Linked DNA regions of Cricetulus griseus. The protein of the gene in region 2 interacts with the protein of the main gene of each other region in a pairwise test. Links are inferred from orthologs where the notes say so. Each region holds a gene or a part of one and is shown on either strand. Other genes may lie near its edges.

Region 1 (3,451 bases), on a different chromosome or scaffold from region 2:
AGGGGTCGGTCAGGGGCAGGGGAGGAAGGGAGGGAGAGAGAACTTAGATTGACATGTAAAAGAAGCTTGTTTCCAATATAAATAAATAAAAAAGATTATGCCCAAGGTGACAGACTGAACCATATTATTAACATCAAGTAGAAATTTGAAGTTATATGAATTTTGAGTTGTTGATAGAAACGGCTCTCTTTATTAACTTGCCTTCTCAAAACCTGTAGTTCTAAAATCAGAAGCACATAGCTGTCACATAAAAAGTGGTCACTTATCACATGTAAGCAAAAAAGAAAAAAAAAAAAAAAAAGCTTTACCAAGTGCTGAAAAGTGTAGCTCCTGAGCACTTTCAGGGACTGTTTAAATGACAGAGTAAGATTGTTGCTCTCTTCTTTTCCCCCAAAGATATGGCATGAAAATGAGCACTGTATTATGAAAATTGGAAATGATGAGTCTGGTTTGGTGGCCAGGCCCTGAATTTATGTTTAGTGCCTGCTTTTCTGTACTATAGAAGGATTCCAGTGATTCTGTGCCATGTCTGTTCCTCCTGGTTTTCCTGTGCTTATTTACAGCTATGGCCATCACACTCACTTTGTTCCTTTTTCTCTCCCTCCAAGTCTGTGTTAAGTTCCAGTAACTTGTTGGCTGTGGTCTAGAATCTGGGTGACCTGACTTGCCTGGAAAGGAAGGACTGGTAGGAAGTCGGGGTGTTGCTAAGAAGTCTTCTTGCTGTAGAAATCAAATCCATCAGAATCCCCCTTCTGATGAACTTAGGAGGTGTGCATGTTTTGTATCACTGATTCTATTTTGATTAATGACATTAAAGTTACAATTTTTAATTCTTATGAAGGTTGCACCTAATAATCTTGGCAAGTGGTTCGACAAATGCCTGCTATTTGTATTGCAACTCTTGCATCCAATAGCTGCTTGGAGTGATTTAACGCAGCTGAGGAGGACTAGCACTAACAATCATTATAGCCTGAAAAGTGCACAAGTTCACTGTGCTTTTTTTCCTTCTTCAGTCTAAAGACCGATTAATGCTCATCAGATGCTACTTGAAAATCGTTTTCGTTGTATTATGATTAAAGAAATAGTTTAAAGGAGAGGTGAGCCCTGAGGCAGGCCAGTGCTATTTAACCCGTGAGAGGTCGTTTTACTAAGGATTTACTTTAGCCATGCTTCGTCTGCACCCCACCCCCATCTTGCTGAGTGATAGCACAGATGTAGCTCGTTTTGAGAATACAAGGAAGGAGGGAAAGGGGCTAGGGTGAAATCAGGAATCTTCAACCATGCTTCCAGACTCCCCAGGGTTGTTCCTAGTCATTTCTACCTAGTGCCCCTGGTGCCTTTCCTACCTGAAGGTGTGATGCCATCGCCTCTAGCCCTATGTCGCTACCTCCCTGGTGAGTTGTCACCGTCGTTGGACTTGCGACCCTGCAGTAGCCCCTTGGTGGCTCCGGGGAAGGCCGGGAAGCTCTTCCTGGGAGCCACTCCTCCTCGGGCCCCGCGGCTGCCACGCCGGCTGGCCTGGTGTTCCATCGACTGGGAACAGGTATGCCTGCTGCATAGGCTGGGTTCTGGAGGGTTTGGTTCGGTGTACAAAGCCACTTACCACGGTGTTCCTGTGGCCATAAAGCAAGTGAACAAGTGCACCAAGAACCTACGTGCATCCCAGCGGAGTTTCTGGGCTGAACTCAACATTGCAAGACTGCGCCATGACAACATAGTCCGGGTTGTGGCTGCCAGCACGCATACGCCCAAGGGCTCTAACAGCCTGGGTACCATAATCATGGAGTTTGGGGGCAATGTGACTCTACACCAAGTCATCTATGGTGCCACCCGCTCTCCAGGGCCTCTAAGCTGCAGCCGAGAACAACTGAGTTTGGGGAAGTGCCTTAAGTATTCCCTAGATATTGTTAATGGCCTGCTTTTCCTCCACTCACAAAGCATTTTGCACTTGGACCTGAAGCCAGCGAACATTTTGATCAATGAGCAGGACGTCTGTAAGATCAGTGATTTCGGCTGCTCCCAAAAGCTGCAAGATCTGTGGTGCAGCCAGACGCCCCCTCACCACATAGGTGGCACCTACACGCACCAAGCTCCGGAGCTCCTGAAAGGAGAGACCGCCACGCGCAAAGCCGACATCTACTCTTTCGGCATCACCCTCTGGCAGATGACCACCAGGGAGGTGCCATACTCAGGCGAGCCTCAGCAGGTGCAGTACGCTGTGGTGGCCTACAATCTGCGACCGTCCCTGGCGGGGGCAGTGTTCACCTCCTCACCGACGGGGCGGAAGTTGCAGAGCATCCTCCGGAGCTGCTGGGAGGCCCGCGCCCTGCAGAGGCCGGGTGCAGAACTGCTCTTGAGGGACCTGAACGCTTTGCGAGCAGCATTGGGCTGACTCCATCCAGCCTGTGCTTTTTGTTTCTGATTATTTTTAAAGAAGTAAGGGTGGTGTGGAAGAAAACATACCCCTAGGACATAATTTTAGAAAATAAAGTTACTGAAAACTTCAATCTGAAGGGTTTTTTTTTTTTTTTTCCTGAGAATAAGGAGGCTACAGATTTCATGAGCATCACTGCTGGTAACAAACCTGACCCCCTTTATAGTTCTCTGTCCCCTTTCTGGGCTCCTGACCGACTGTATCATCTCCACAATATTGCTGTTAGTTGGATTTGTTACTGAGTGGAAAACAGAAGAGAAAGGGAGGGGAGAGTAAGGAAAGGAGGGAGGGAGGGAGGGAGGAAGGGAGGAAAGAAAGAAGGAAAGAAGGAAAGAAGGAAATGACATGACTACTAATAGGTGTGGTGAAAGAGAAAGTTTATTGTAGATAAAAGGGAGACATAGTCAGAGGCAGGGACATCTGGAAAAGTCCATAGTGAATATGATCCTGAGCCATGGGGGGAGGGGGGAAGAGACGGGAACCAGGTGCAACAATCAGAAGACCCCCCAAAAGGAGAGATAATCAAAATGACTAGATTATATAGGGAGGAGCATCTAGGGGAAGGACAGCCCAGCCCCTGAGCTGGAGAATTTAAAGTAGGGATGGGGTGTACCAGCCAGGCACACCCTGGAACAGGTTGAGAGGGACTAAGGGATGGGGTAGGGGATGCAGGTGTGTCTGCTTTGATATGTTAAATAGGCACCTCAGCCTTTTGTCCTGGATTTGAAACCTAACAGTTACTGATAAAAAACAGTTTTCCAAAAAAAGAATGACACTCCTGACATGCCACATTTTTCTCTGCAAGTGTCACATCTCCCACACCTAAATTCAAGCTTGTTGGCCTGCAACAAAACAAGCACTTTCTAAAGGAATGGTTGTTATCTCTTCCAGTCCATAAGAAAATGAAGTTTGCTATCACTTTCACATACATTTTGCAGATTGAAGTTGATTATTTTTTCAAATAATGATATTCTAAATCATTGCTCACATTTGAACATTGCCATGAGCAGAAAAGTT
Region 2 (4,247 bases):
GCTGCCATAGGCCTAGGAGAACAAAACCTGAGACTAGGGGCAAGGTTATAACTGTGTGTTACCAGGAGGGAGGTGCAGGTGCCCAACCAAGTACATGCACCAATTCCCTAAGTTACTATCTGTTAGAGGAATGGACTGGGTAAAGTAGGAGTTCCTGGAAAAAAGAATTAGATAATAATAAATGCCTGAGGTTCAGACATGGTGGTAGTCCTGTAGTTATTCCCCAGACAGGTCATGATCAAAAACATAATATCTATTGATTTAATACTAGTTTTTTTACCATGCAGACCTTCATTTAACCTCAACTTAGGAGGAAAGCTATCTGCATTAGGTCTCATGGTCTACTTGGAAGCGTTAGCAGGGAGAGTTGCAAGGCAGTGCTCCCTTGAGGGCCTGGGCTGACTGGGTGGGACTGCCATGGATAACTGGAATCCCACCACCCACAGATCAAAGAACTGCAGACTAAGCTGCGGGAGCTGCAGCTTCAGTACCAGGCTAGCATGGATGAGCAGGGGCGGCTTCTGGCCGTGCAGGAGCAGCTGGAGTGTCAGCTACAGTGCTGCCAGGAAGAACTCCGCCAGCTCAGGGAGAACAGGCCCTCTATTAGCTCAGAAGCCAGGGGCAAGAATGTCAATAAGAATGTGAACAAGAATGTCAATGAAGTGAGAAGTAAGAAGACAAGCAAGGCGTGCTCAGAGAGCTCAGAGAGCGACTTTGGGAACGAGAAGGTGAGTTACAGCCTCAGCAGCCAGAGGCAGGTAGATGGAGGAGGCCCTGGGAGGAAACATCATATCCTCTAACAGTTCCTGCCAGGAAAGCTACTTTGAGGAAGGCTTTTGGTACTAGTAATGTCTGCAGGAGTTCTGTCTCTATAAGAGTTTGGCCACTTTTCTGGGTGCTACGGGGAGAATGCCCAACAACTGCTTTCACTAGCCTAAGCTCATCTCTGGGACTCCTTTGTTCCTAGTTACATGATCAAGAGAAAGACCAACTAGACAGAGAGAAAGGAATGTATTCAAGAGGATTGGTTGTGATAAAAATTACCAGGAAGGGTAGGAAGCAACAGTTGAGGAGCAGAGCCCAAGAATCTTGAATTATCGTGAACTGCCTTAAATGGCTTAATGATCGCATAAGAAGCGCTGGTTTAACAAACTAAATGTGACTGCCCTCCATGTCATTCTTGGAAAGATTAGCATACAGTCCCACACTACAGTCCTGCACAGTGGAACTCTGACATGGTACAAGTAGAGCTTTATGTCTGTAGTCTTTTCTTTATCAGTAACAGCGGCCCCACCCTGCCCTGCCTCCACCTGCAGAGTCTGGAGGTGGTACTGTACTACAAGGCCAGCCAGAGGAAATTAGATGAGATAGCGCAAGAGGAAAAAGAGATGGAAGAGGCAAAAGGGAATAAAAAACAAGACAAGAAAAAATCATGTGAACTAGCTACTGAGCCAGCAGATCCTAGGAAAGAGCCTGAGCCTGAGCCTGAGCCTGAGCCTGAGCCTGAGCCTGAACCTGAGCCTGAGCCTGAGCCTGAGCCTGAACCTGAGCCTGAGCCTGAGCCTGAGCCTGAGCCTGAGCCTGAGCCTGAGCCTGAGCCTGAGCCTGAGCCTGAGCCTGAGCCTGAGCCTGAGCCTGAGCCTGAGCCTGAGCCTAAGCCTGAGCCTGAACCTGAGCCTAAGCCTGAGCCTGAGCCTAAGCCTGCAGAAGAGGAGGATGGAGTCTACGAAGAGTACAGACAAGGGCAGGATAAGGAAGCCAGTGAAGATGAGGAGGTTGAGTCTTCTGAGACGGCTGAGGAAGGCAATCCTCTTACGATTTCTGAGAGCAGAAAGGTAACCACAGCCAAGGTGGATGGAGTGGGAATGAGCCTAGGGTTCAGGTGCCTAATTTTCAGAAGTGGTCCTACACTTGTACAAGAGTAGAGGCCAGTGAATATGTGCTGGGGATGGGGATGGGGTTGGTGAAGGCAGTCTTTCTGAGCAAAATGGCAGGCCTAGACTAATTTGCTGTGGAGACATTACACCATGACTGCCTTTTCTCAGAGCCAAAGTGGAGGTCATGTGTACTTTCGCTTACACTGTAGTGCTCAGAACCTCCCTATATCAACAGTGTCCCCTCACCCCTCTCCCTGGCCTCCCTTCTTCATGTCTGCTAGCCTCGGCAAGTCACTTCATCCTGTTTTCCCATGATACCCTGTGAGAGTTCACATGTATTAGTGCTGTGGCTTGCAGACTTGTACCACCCAGTAGGTTTTGCATATTATAGGATGTGAGAGTGTTGGGCCTTGGGAATGAACAGTGAACCCGGTGACACTCAAAGTTTCAGTCTGCACAGCAGGGACACTGGCCAGCCTGCCACGGGTCACTGCTCTAACCCTTTAGTTCCTGGATCTTTGAGAGACTGGGAGGGAGGTGTCTTGGGGTATATGCAGATGGCAGGTAAGGCAGCTGCTTACGGAAGTATTATCATCTTTCAACAACTGGTACATTTCCATAGGTATGTGTCAGCTGAACTCCTACTCTGAGGCTAGTTAGCTAAGTCCCCAGTTTACTGTGCAGAAAACTGTCTCTTGTGATGGACTATCCCACTCACTTTACAGACATCTGGAGTTTTCCGGCACTTCAGTCTACATTACTGGTTCATGATCCAGTATGCAGTTCCCTGTTAACCATGAGGTGGAGGACTTGTTACTTAGGATGTACTTGTTACTTAGTAAGTGACTGTAGCCCTTCACCAGGCCAATGTTTCTTTTGAACTTAACATATTCTACTACGGACTGGTTCAGAGCTCATGGACTTCTTAACCTCAGGGACCACTTTTCTAAGTCTAAGCTTGGCTTTTGTACTTCAGAGTCAAATACATTGTTGATGTCTAGATGCCCTTTTGCCCCAGTGGGTCCTGAATCTTTTGCAGACAGTTCAGCTGGCATTCATGTTATTGCATACAAATTCAGTTGCTCTTTGTAAGTTGTTGCAGGCAAAAAACTAACCTCTTCCATTGTTAGGCTGATGTATTACATCTCACAACTCACAACGCATTAGATTCCTAGGAGATCGTAGGAACCAGAGCTCTGCATACCACTAAAACAGATAGGAAGTAAAGCTGGTAGGTAGCCAGCCTGGCTGAAGATGGGCTCTTTCTGGAGGAATCCAGGAAAAGTATCTACCTGATTTCTGTAAGGAAGCCCACTGTCTTCTCTGAAGCATCACTTTCCCAGAGTGTCTGACTCAAGAAAGATCTAGGTGCAGGTAACTTCTTAACAAGATAGGAGCTGCACATGACTAGAGAGAACACTGGTCCAGATACCTAATTTGGACCTATCTGCTGCTTAACTCCATTTTGCAACTGTTGCAGGCTGCCAGAATGAGGAACCTCTCTGCTCTTCCTAAGGCTCTGGGAGCAGAGAAGAAATGCTATTGCTCCAGCTTATGTGGTTTTTAACCTTTGATTCTTTTCTCTTTTCCCTTTGTTTTCTCATCTTCATTATCTGTTGGATTTGTGTGTTCGTGTCTTTTCATGCAACCACGCGTCTCCCGGTCTCTCCTGTGCTTCTCATTTGACACGTTGCAGTCATCCCCTGCCCCTGATCCCCCCATATTCTCCTTGCCTCTTGTAGGCCTGGTGGTCATATCAGCTCTGCTCTGGTGCTGGTGGGCTGAGACATCGTCCTAACCCAGGTACTGGTATAGCTTCCTCTCTTCCCCCTCAGCCTCTTACTCCTCCCATTATACAATAGGTGATGCTGAGTTTTAGCGCTGGCCTTTTCTTACTTTGCTGCAAAGCCTACAAGCCTTCTTGAGCATGCCATGATATTCATAATGCACAAGTAGTTGGAACGCTTACCAGAGGCATAGTTTGAGTTTCTTTCCTTGGCATATCTCTTTTGCTACCAACAAAGCTGCCAAGCTACTTCTGATGAGCTGATGTCTGCCTGCAAGGCGGGCCTGAGCTTTGTCTTTGTTTAAACCCCAAAGCCAAGCTTTTGCCATTGTTTCAACCCAAAAGGAATTACTCCCTGTGCTTAAGGATGAGAGAGGAGGTCCTAAGAGCTGTGGTCCTGTGGTCCTCTCAGGAACCCTCATTTGGTCCTTCCACTTTGATGGAAGTAGAACTGAATCCCTGCTGAATTATATATTCCTGCTCTAATATTCCTGGTTACCAGAAAAAAATGACAACAGAGTCCCAGGAAATTATGTATGCTTGTGTTCATTCCTTTGGGGGACCAGATTCCATTATACTTGGCT
Region 3 (4,847 bases), on a different chromosome or scaffold from region 2:
CAGGCCATATGAACCAGGTGTGGAGGCAGGAGGATTAGCAGTTAAGGTCATCCTCAGCTACATACTGAGTCTGAGAGCAGCCTAGGCTACACGAGACCCTCTCAAAAAAACAAAAGGGGCTGGGGAGATGGTTCAATGGTTAAGGGCATTTGTTATTCCTGCAGAGGACCCAGGTTCAGTTCTCAGCACCCATTTGGCACTGTGGTGTACTGACATACATAGGAGCAAAATACTAGTATGCATAAAATAAATAAGCCCCCAAACCTAAAAAAACACAGAAGGGTAGAGAGATGACTCAGTGGGTAAAGTCTGCTGTGCTCATGGGACTGAGTTCAAATCCATAACACCCATCTAAGAGCCAGGCATGGCTAAATGCACACAACCCCCTAGTGCTGGGCAGGCTGAAACTGGAGGTTTCATGGGCCATGCTAGCCAACCTCTTAACTGAACCGGTGAGAGACCCTGTTTAAAAAAAATAAGATGGAGCTGGAGAGATGGCTCAGAGGTTAAGAACACTGACTGCTCTTCTAGAAGTCCCGAGTTCAATTCCCAGCAACCACATGGTGCCCTCTTCTGGTGTGCAGATATACATGGAAGCAGAATGTTGTATACATAATAAATAAATCTCTCTCTCTAAAAAAAAAAAGATGGAGGGCAACTGAGAAAGAAAGATACCACCACCAAACTCTGGCCTCCACATGCACACTCATGCTTGCATGCATACAGGCAGGCACAAGCTGGCGCGTGAACACACACACACACACACACACACATACACACACACACACACACACACACACAAATGAATGCATGAATGAACACACACATGCAGCTGATGACCTTCAGTCATAAAAATAATTTCTGGACACAGACAACAGGAGTGGAGTACAGGAGGGAATCCAGTAAGTCTGGGGTACCACCTCCTTCCTCTGGGGCACACGGCGCCACCACACGTGGTCACAGGAGGAGCAGGCAAACTGTCGGTCCACGGCAGGGATGAGGTCGTCTTGGGCTCTTTGGAACATTCGAAGATTGGCTTTTGTCAGGGGCAACAGAGAGGTGGCCACTGCCTGAAACATGGATGAATGGGGACAAAACAGGGTCACCTCTGCCTGTGGAGCCCACAGCGACCATCCTTACTGCTATATACCTTGGACAGTTATCCATCCTGCCTCATCCCAGCCAAAAAACACACCTGGATATCTCGGTCTTGCTTCATGTCCTCGGGTGGGTCCTGAGGGGAGACACGGAAAAGGAGTACAGAGACTGGAAAGGCTCTATCTAGGAGTCCTATACCCATGTTGAATGGGGGAGAAGCCCCTGCATGGGGCTCCTGGACTTCAGACAGAGATGAAACATTATTGCCTGTGTTGACAGATAGAGCCAGTGCCTACAATGAATGAAGTCCCAAAGATCCTTAAGAAGCAAATACTTGGCTAGTCTCATTTCCCAGAATCTGAACCCACTCAGTGATCGTGGCCCATGGAACCCAGAGCCCTGGATGACCTTTCAATCTGCAGAGGCCACACATGTGACACCTGGCCACTGAAGCCACATAGCTTTTAAAGATTAAAAAGTTTAAAAATGTGTATGTCTGTGTACATGTACATATGTGTAGTGCCCATAGAGGCCAGAAGAGGGTGTCAGATACCCCTGGAACTGGAGTGGTTGTGAACTGTCCCATGTAGGTGCTGAGAATGGAATTAGGGTCCCCTGTGAGAGCAGCAAGTGCTCTCAACAGCTGAGGTATCTCTCAGCTCCTTGGCCACATGGCTTTAAAAGGCTCCAGTTTGGGGGCTTGCAACCGGTTGGCTGCTCTATTGCTCCCAGATGGGGATGGTGGGCAAGTCCCTCTCTTTGAGGGTTCTCACAGAAGGGCCTCTCAGAGCCCGAGCTTCATTGCAAATGGCTAGAATTTGAATCCCTGAAGTCAAATGCTGGTCCCCAGAACTTGGTGAAATGTCATGAGCCTGAGCTTTCTTGTGTAATAGGATTGCCTCCCGGAAGCAGAAGAAAGGGATATGAAATGAACCAAGGCCTGGAGGTTTGCCCCTCAGGCTCTCTCCATGAAGGCAACTTCCTTCTATTATTAATTTGTCATATTCCTTATAGACCTAAACCAAAGGAATATGATTTGTCAGATTCTTTTAGGTGCCCAGCATGGTGGTGCACGCCTTTGATTCCCAGTGCTTGGGAGGCAGAGGCAGGTGGATCTCTGTGAGTTCAAAGCCAGCTTGGCCTGTAAAGTGAGTTTCAGGACAGTCCAGGGCTACATAGTGAGACCCTGTCTCAAAAAAACAAAACAAAACAAAACTTTGGCAAGCCTTTCAAGCAAGTTCAGCACACAGGGTACAGCCACAGAAGTGATTCTATGAATTTATCCCTTCTCCTCCATTGGGACCTCTTTCCCCCCCAGGCCAGCCCAGCCTTTCTTCTAGTGAAAGGTAGAATTAGTTTCCTTGAGCCTTCCTCAACAGCCAGGACCTCCTTATCCGACTGTCCTGTCTCCTCCTCCATCTGAGGCAATCAGCACATAATGAGCGCCTACTGTTTGCAGGCTGCTTCGGACAAGGAAGGAACTTAGATAGCAAGATGGGCTCTCACAGTATCTCTCTTTGAGGAGAGAGGGAGTTCAGGTTACCTGAGCGTCCAAATCGTTGCTCAGCTCCTGTCCATCTTTCTGCTTGACACCTAGTGGGGAAATATGGGAAGGGCTCTTGAAGGGTGAGTAGGAGTTCCAGGTGGTGGAGAGCCTCCTGTCAAGGGGAGCCAGGGTCGCTACAGCGAGCGACAACCACACCCACGCAGTACCCCCTGGGCGGACTCACCATACACGATAGAGCGCCCTACTCCGGTGTGGTCGCTGCCAAACTTCCTCATAAGAGCCCCTGCCTTCTTGGGGGACACTTTTCCATGAAACTTCTCCCGGAGGCGCCTGACGCTCTTCTCCAACTGGGATGGAGGGGAGGTGAGCGCTGGTGTGGGGGACGACTGGGGAGCGGCGCCCGCCCCTCATTCTCCTGAACTTGACCCCGGCTTCTGGCCTCCGCACCCTCTCCCCTCCCCCTCCCTTTAAGCCATTTCCTGGAAAAATCCAAAGTTCTCCAGGCATTGGGGGATGGTGCAGACTGCGGCGGGTGCCAGCCTGCCGGGTGCGAATTTGCGGTCTGGCGTGCGTGCGTGTGAGCCGGGATGCAGGCCAGGTCACCCCCTTTCCTTCTAACCTCTGACCCTGCAGCCCCGCTACGGCCGGGACGGAGGGGGAGGCGGCCCAGGGGGTCGGGGTGTCCCCGGAGCCCTCCCCGCGCGGCCTGTCTCGGGTGGCGCGACTGTCCTACCTCCACGCCGTCCTGAGCCATGGTGGCCGGTGCGCACCTGGCCGCGCCCGGGTCCGGGCCCCGCAGGGCTGGGTGGCGTCGGCGCGGCTCCGCCTCCCTCGGTCCCCTCTTTCGGTTTCGTTTCTGCGCGAAGCTGGGGACCCCGCGGGGACCCCGCCCCGGCCGTGCGGCTGCGTGTCTGCTCGCGCGCCCCGCGGTGCTCCCGGGGCGGTGCTCCCGGCCTCAGCGCGCGCCTCCCCGCGTCCTGCGCAGCAGCGCGGCCGGGCCGGGGATGCAGCGCGCGGCCTCTGCAGTCGGTCACATGTCCCCACGCTGCGCGGGGTCCGCGTCTTCACGTCCCCCGTGGGGGCGGGGCCGCACCGCGCGCGGACGCGGGTCTCGGTGCTCCCACGCTGCTCCTCCTAGACCGCGGGCGAGCTTTGCTCTACTCAGAGGCTCCTACCCGCAGCATCTTTTCCCCCTAGCTCCCTCCAGCCAGTCTCAGTTTCCTCCTCTGTAAAATGGGCACGCAAGCCAGGCTTGGCGACACACACTGGTCACCTCAGCATTTGGAAAGTGGGGGCAGGAGAAGCAAGAGTTCAAGGCTGTCCTGGGCTACATGGACCCTGTTTCAAAAAGAAAGGAAAAAAAAAAAAAAGAAAAGAGGAAAATATCCCAGGACAAAATGAGAGAACTTTTTTTGGGGCAACTTTCATGAACTTCTTGAGCGGTGAATGGGCCCTAGATTTAAGAGGCCTGCCTGCCTGGGTTTTCCTTGCTGCGACCCTCTTTCTTGCCCTTTTTGGTACAGGGGTTGGGTTTCTCACTTTGACCCAGGAGCACTCAAAGCTTGGTTTCCTTCACTAATCAGGGTGGATAGCACAAGTGCAGATAATGGTGGTATAATGGTGAACCGGAAACCAACACCAGAGGGAAGTGGAAACTATCTTCCCACCCCCCCTCCTCTTTCCAGGGCCCTGTAGTTTCAAGGCGGCTCCCTTAATCCAGGCTCCCCTGGACTTTGTATGTCACTGTCTCCCCCTGCCTCTACATTCTGAATTCTGGGGTCACAGATGTGTACCTAGGGTCTCACAGCATAGCCCAGGCTGGCCTTGAATGTGGTTTGGTGGCCCTTCAGCCTCAGTCTCCCCAGTACTGAGATTACAGATGTGAGCCTCCATGTTTGGTCTTCCAGGGGGACTTAATGGCACTCAGCACAATGTGGGACATAGATAATGCACCAATCATCGGGTGACCTTTGGAGTTTCATGCAGGTTGGAGGCAGAGTAAGGATGTGAAGAAAACACACTCTTGGTCCCTAACACCTTGTACTTCTGGCTCATGGGAATACACATTGCAAATTTAAAGGCTAATAACCATGTGGGCAGTGTGTGTGAGACCCTGGTTTCCCCCCGGGCCTGGAAGGAACACCTCCACATGGATCGGCATCAATAAATTATATTGAAATATTACAGCTATTATGGGGAAATGGGCTAGAATTTCCTCAGGAAATAGAATGAACATAAGAGC
Region 4 (4,790 bases), on a different chromosome or scaffold from region 2:
GGGCTAGCCCCCACACAGGCTCACACACACACGGGATAGCCCACACACAGGCTCACACACACACAGACTGACACACACACAGGCTGACACACACACGGGCTAGCCCCCACACAGGCTCACACACACACGGGATAGCCCACACACAGGCTCACACACACACAGACTGACACACACACAGGCTGACACACACACGGGCTAGACACAGGCTCACACACACACGGGATAGCCCACACACAGGCTCACACACACACACACACACACAGGCTGACACACACACGGGCTAGCCCCCACACAGGCTCACACACACACGGGATAGCCCACACACAGGCTCACACACACACAGACTGACACACACACAGGCTGACACACACACAGGCTCACACACAGGCTGACACACACACACACAGGCTCACACACGGGCTCACACACGGGCTCACACACACACACACGGCTGACACACACACAGGGACTAGCCCCCACACGGGCTAGCCCCACACAGGCTCACACACAGGCTGACACACACACAGGCTGACACACACACGGGCTGACACACAGGATGACACACACACAGGCTGACACACACACAGGCTGACACACACACAGGATGACACACACACAGGATGACACACACACGGGCTAGCCCCCACACGGGCTAGTCCCCACACAGGCTCACACACAGGCTGACACACACACAGGCTGACACACACACGGGCTGACACACAGGATGACACACACACACAGGCTCACATACAGGCTGACACACATAGGCTCACACACAGGCTCACACACAGGCTGACACACACACACACAGGCTCACACACGGGCTCACACACGGGCTCACACACAGGCTGACACACACACGGGCTAGCCCCCACACAGGCTGACACACAGGCTGACACACACACAGGCTGACACACACACGGGCTCACACACGGGCTAGCCCCCACACAGGCTCACACACACACAGGCTGACACACACACGGGCTAGCCACACACAGGCTCACACACACACGGCTGACACACACACAGGCTGACACACACACGGGCTCACACACAGGCTGACACACACACAGGCTGACACACACACAGGCTGACACACACGCGGGCTAGCCCCCACACAGGCTCACACACACACGGCTGACACACACACAGGCTGACACACACACGGGCTCACACACAGGCTGACACACACAGGCTGACACACACACAGGCTCACACACAGGCTGACACACACGCGGGCTAGCCCCCACACAGGCTCACACACACACGGGCTGACACACACACAGGCTGACACACACACGGGCTCACACACAGGCTGACACACACACAGGATGACACACACACAGGCTCACACACAGGCTGACACACACGCGGGCTAGCCCCCACACAGGCTCACACACACACAGGCTGACACACACACGGGCGAGCCCCCAGACAGGCTCACACACACACAGGCTGACACACACGCGGGTTAGCCCCCACACAGGCTGACACACACACGAGCTAGCCCCCACACAGGCTGACACACAGGCTGACACACACGCGGGCTCACACACACACAGGCTGACACACACACGAGCTAGCCCCCACACAGGCTGACACACACACGGGCTGACACACATGCGGGCTAGCCCCCACACAGGCTGACACACACACAGGCTGACACACACACAGGCTGACACACACAGGCTCACACACACACAGGCTGACACACACGCGGGCTCACACACACACGCGGGCTCACACACACACGGGCTGACACACACACGGGCTCACACACACACAGGCTGACACACACACGGGCTCACACACACAGGCTGACACACACACGGGCTCACACACGGGTTAGCCCCCACACAGGTGACACACAGGCTGACACACACACAGGCTGACACACACACGGCTGACACACACACACAGGCTGACACACGGGCTCACACACAGGCTGACACACACTCAGGCTCACACACGGGCTCACACACAGGCTGACACACACACCTAGCACACAGGCTGACACACAGGCTGACACACACGCGGGCTCACACACACACAGGCTGACACACACACGAGCTAGCCCCCACACAGGCTGACACACACACGGGCTGACACACATGCGGGCTAGCCCCCACACAGGCTGACACACACACAGGCTGACACACACACAGGCTGACACACACAGGCTCACACACAGGCTGACACACACACGGGCTCACACACACACAGGCTGACACACACACGGGCTCACACACACACAGGCTCACACACACAGGCTGACACACACACGGGCTCACACACACACAGGCTGACACACACACGGGCTCACACACGGGTTAGCCCCCACACAGGTTGACACACACACAGGCTGACACACACACTCAGGCTGACACACACACAGGCTGACACACACACAGGCTGACACACACGCGGGCGAGCCCCCACACAGGCTGACACACACACAGGTTGACACACACACGGGCTAGCCCCCACACAGGCTGACACACACACAGGCTGACACACAGGCTGACACACACTCAGGCTGACACACAGGCTCACACACACACAGGCTGACACACACACGGGCGAGCCCCACACAGGCTGAACACACACAGGCTGACACACGCGGGCTGACACACACAGGCTGACAGGGGCTAGACACACCACAGGCTCACACACAGGCTGACACACACTCAGGCTCACACACACAGGCTGACACACACACGGGCTCACACACACACAGGCTGACACACACACGGGCTCACACACACACAGGCTGACACACACACGGGCTCACACACGGGTTAGCCCCCACACAGGCTGACACACACACAGGCTGACACACACACGGGCTCACACACACACAGGCTGACACACACACAGGCTGACACACACACAGGCTGACACACACTCAGGCTCACACACAGGCTGACACACACACAGGCTGACACACACACGGGCGAGCCCCCACACAGGCTCACACACAGGCGCGGCCCGCGCGGCCTTCCCCGCTGCCCCTTGGCAGTGACCCCCGGCCGAAGTCAAGGTCAGGACGGCGCAAGCCCGCTCCCCGACCTCCACGGCCCTTGGTGGGCGGGCGGTCTGACCCTTCAGCCGCGGCCTCGCACGCGGCGCCGGGGCCCGGGGCCGGCTCCCGGGCAGGGGCCCCCGCCGGCTCCTTGTACCTGTCGGGACAGCCCGCACGCGGCCATCTTTCCCCGGCGGAGGTAGGTCACTCCCAAGCGGCGCCCACAGGTGCCAGAGCGCACGCGCGCGCCGGCGTGGCCGCTCAGCTCTCTGGGAAATGGGCTCCCCGGGTGCCAGGGCGCATGGGTGGAAACCTCTTGCATGCTGGGAGTTGTAGTCCATAGGAGCCGGGCGTCCCAACTAAATCTTCAATTACTGGCGGAGCGGGTCTTCGTGTGGAGTGGATGTGCGGTCTTTAGTTTAGGGTTTCCACTTAGATGCTTTGCACACTCATCACCGGTGTCGTTGCCTCGTAGTGTGTAGTGTGTAGTGTGTAGTGTGTCCGTGTGTCGTAGCCTGCTTCACTGGCCAGGCTTCGTGCTTCGCTTAAACAAATGAAAGCCAAAAGCACGAGCGAACCCCCGCAGCGGGGCACTCCTGGGACAGGCTTCCCGGGCCGGTTCTCTCCCGCTCCTTCCGCGGCTTGTCACACTTGGACGGTGTGTGCAATCAGGGTAGAGATCAGAACCAGAACCAGCTTCTAATCAAAGATGACGCAGAAAGTCAAAAGCCAGCTGGCTCGAGCCTTGCGTCCGCACAGCCGGCCGGCTCTCAGTTTCCTCCTTCACAGCAAAGATCCGGCTACAGGGGTTCCTGGTTCTAACGCGTGAATAAACTTAAAAAAAGAAAAGAGAAAAGAAAAGAAAAAAGCTGTCGGAGGTTAAGAGCACTGGCTGCTCTTCCAGAGGTCCTGAGTTCAATTCCTAGCAACCACATGGTGGCTCACAACCATCCGTTATGAGATCTGGTGCCCTCTGCTGGTGTGCAAGCAGACATACAGACAGAACACTATACATGAAAAAAAAAAAAAAAAAAAAAAAAAAAGCTTTCTGCTCAGATTTAGTAGAGGAATACATTTAGTTGATTTGTCCTTTTAGGGTATAACATTTTCTTTATTACTTTTTTTAATGGAGAGATATTTTCTACCACCCAGAGGCAACATCATGGTGAAGTGTTTACCGAAAAAAAATTTTTTAGGCGGCAGAGTGCCCAGGTTTGAATCTTAATAGCTTTGTAACCTTGGTATAATCACACAAGTTTTCTGTGCCTCAATTTTCTTAGCTATAAAATTGTTATTATAGTAGTGTAGTACCTGCCTTACACTATGTTAGGAAATTTAACATATTTATTTATGTTAGCACATATGAGTACATAGTTGACAGAATTCTTCATTTTGTGTTTGTGCTTTTTATACAGAGATTCACAATCTATCTATCTGTCTGTCTATCTATCTATCTAGCTATCTATCTATATACTTTAGTGTCTTCTCTTTCGCCTTAATATGAGGGGAAAATGGATATGGAATTATATATGGGCTGTGAATACAGTCTTTAAAGAATTAGTTTATTTATTTATTTATTTATTTATCTTGGCTTTTTGAGACAGGGTTTCTCTGTGCAGCTTTGGAGCCTGTCCTGGCACTCACTCTGGAGACCAGGCTGGCCTTGAACTCACAGAGATCTGCCTGCCTCTGCCTCCCGAGTGCTGGGATTAAAGGCGTGTGCCACCAACGCCGGCAAAGAATTATTTTATGTGTCAGTATTTGCCTG

The links.
Region 1: the proteins of Ccdc136 (region 2) and Mos interact in binary tests that used the Homo sapiens proteins (3 or more experiments, as listed by UniProt). The two-hybrid records come from large-scale screens. The link is inferred for Cricetulus griseus from reciprocal best matches to the Homo sapiens genes CCDC136 and MOS.
Region 3: the proteins of Ccdc136 (region 2) and Shfl interact in binary tests that used the Homo sapiens proteins (3 or more experiments, as listed by UniProt). The two-hybrid records come from large-scale screens. The link is inferred for Cricetulus griseus from reciprocal best matches to the Homo sapiens genes CCDC136 and SHFL.
Region 4: the proteins of Ccdc136 (region 2) and Atp5po interact in binary tests that used the Homo sapiens proteins (3 or more experiments, as listed by UniProt). The two-hybrid records come from large-scale screens. The link is inferred for Cricetulus griseus from reciprocal best matches to the Homo sapiens genes CCDC136 and ATP5PO.

Annotation. Positions count from the first base shown.
Region 1 is NC_048595.1:156,238,865-156,242,315, forward strand, and holds Mos (proto-oncogene serine/threonine-protein kinase mos), read left to right. Parts: upstream 1-1,357; coding exon 1,358-2,392; downstream 2,393-3,451.
Region 2 is NW_023276806.1:198,396,419-198,400,665, reverse strand, and holds part of Ccdc136 (coiled-coil domain-containing protein 136), read left to right. Parts: intron 1-446; coding exon 447-728; intron 729-1,264; coding exon of another isoform or gene 1,265-1,282; exon of another isoform or gene 1,283-1,316; coding exon 1,317-1,458; intron 1,459-1,671; coding exon 1,672-1,835; intron 1,836-4,247. UniProt on the Homo sapiens protein: May play a role in acrosome formation in spermatogenesis and in fertilization.
Region 3 is NC_048597.1:133,744,017-133,748,863, reverse strand, and holds the start of Shfl (shiftless antiviral inhibitor of ribosomal frameshifting protein), read right to left. Parts: upstream 3,360-4,847; coding exon 3,339-3,359; intron 2,953-3,338; coding exon 2,829-2,952; intron 2,692-2,828; coding exon 2,642-2,691; intron 1,235-2,641; coding exon 1,196-1,234; intron 1,071-1,195; coding exon 921-1,070; intron 1-920.
Region 4 is NC_048597.1:5,849,280-5,854,069, reverse strand, and holds the start of Atp5po (ATP synthase subunit O, mitochondrial), read right to left. Parts: upstream 3,360-4,790; 5' UTR 3,345-3,359; coding exon 3,180-3,344; intron 1-3,179. UniProt on the Homo sapiens protein: Subunit OSCP, of the mitochondrial membrane ATP synthase complex (F(1)F(0) ATP synthase or Complex V) that produces ATP from ADP in the presence of a proton gradient across the membrane which is generated by electron transport complexes of the respiratory chain.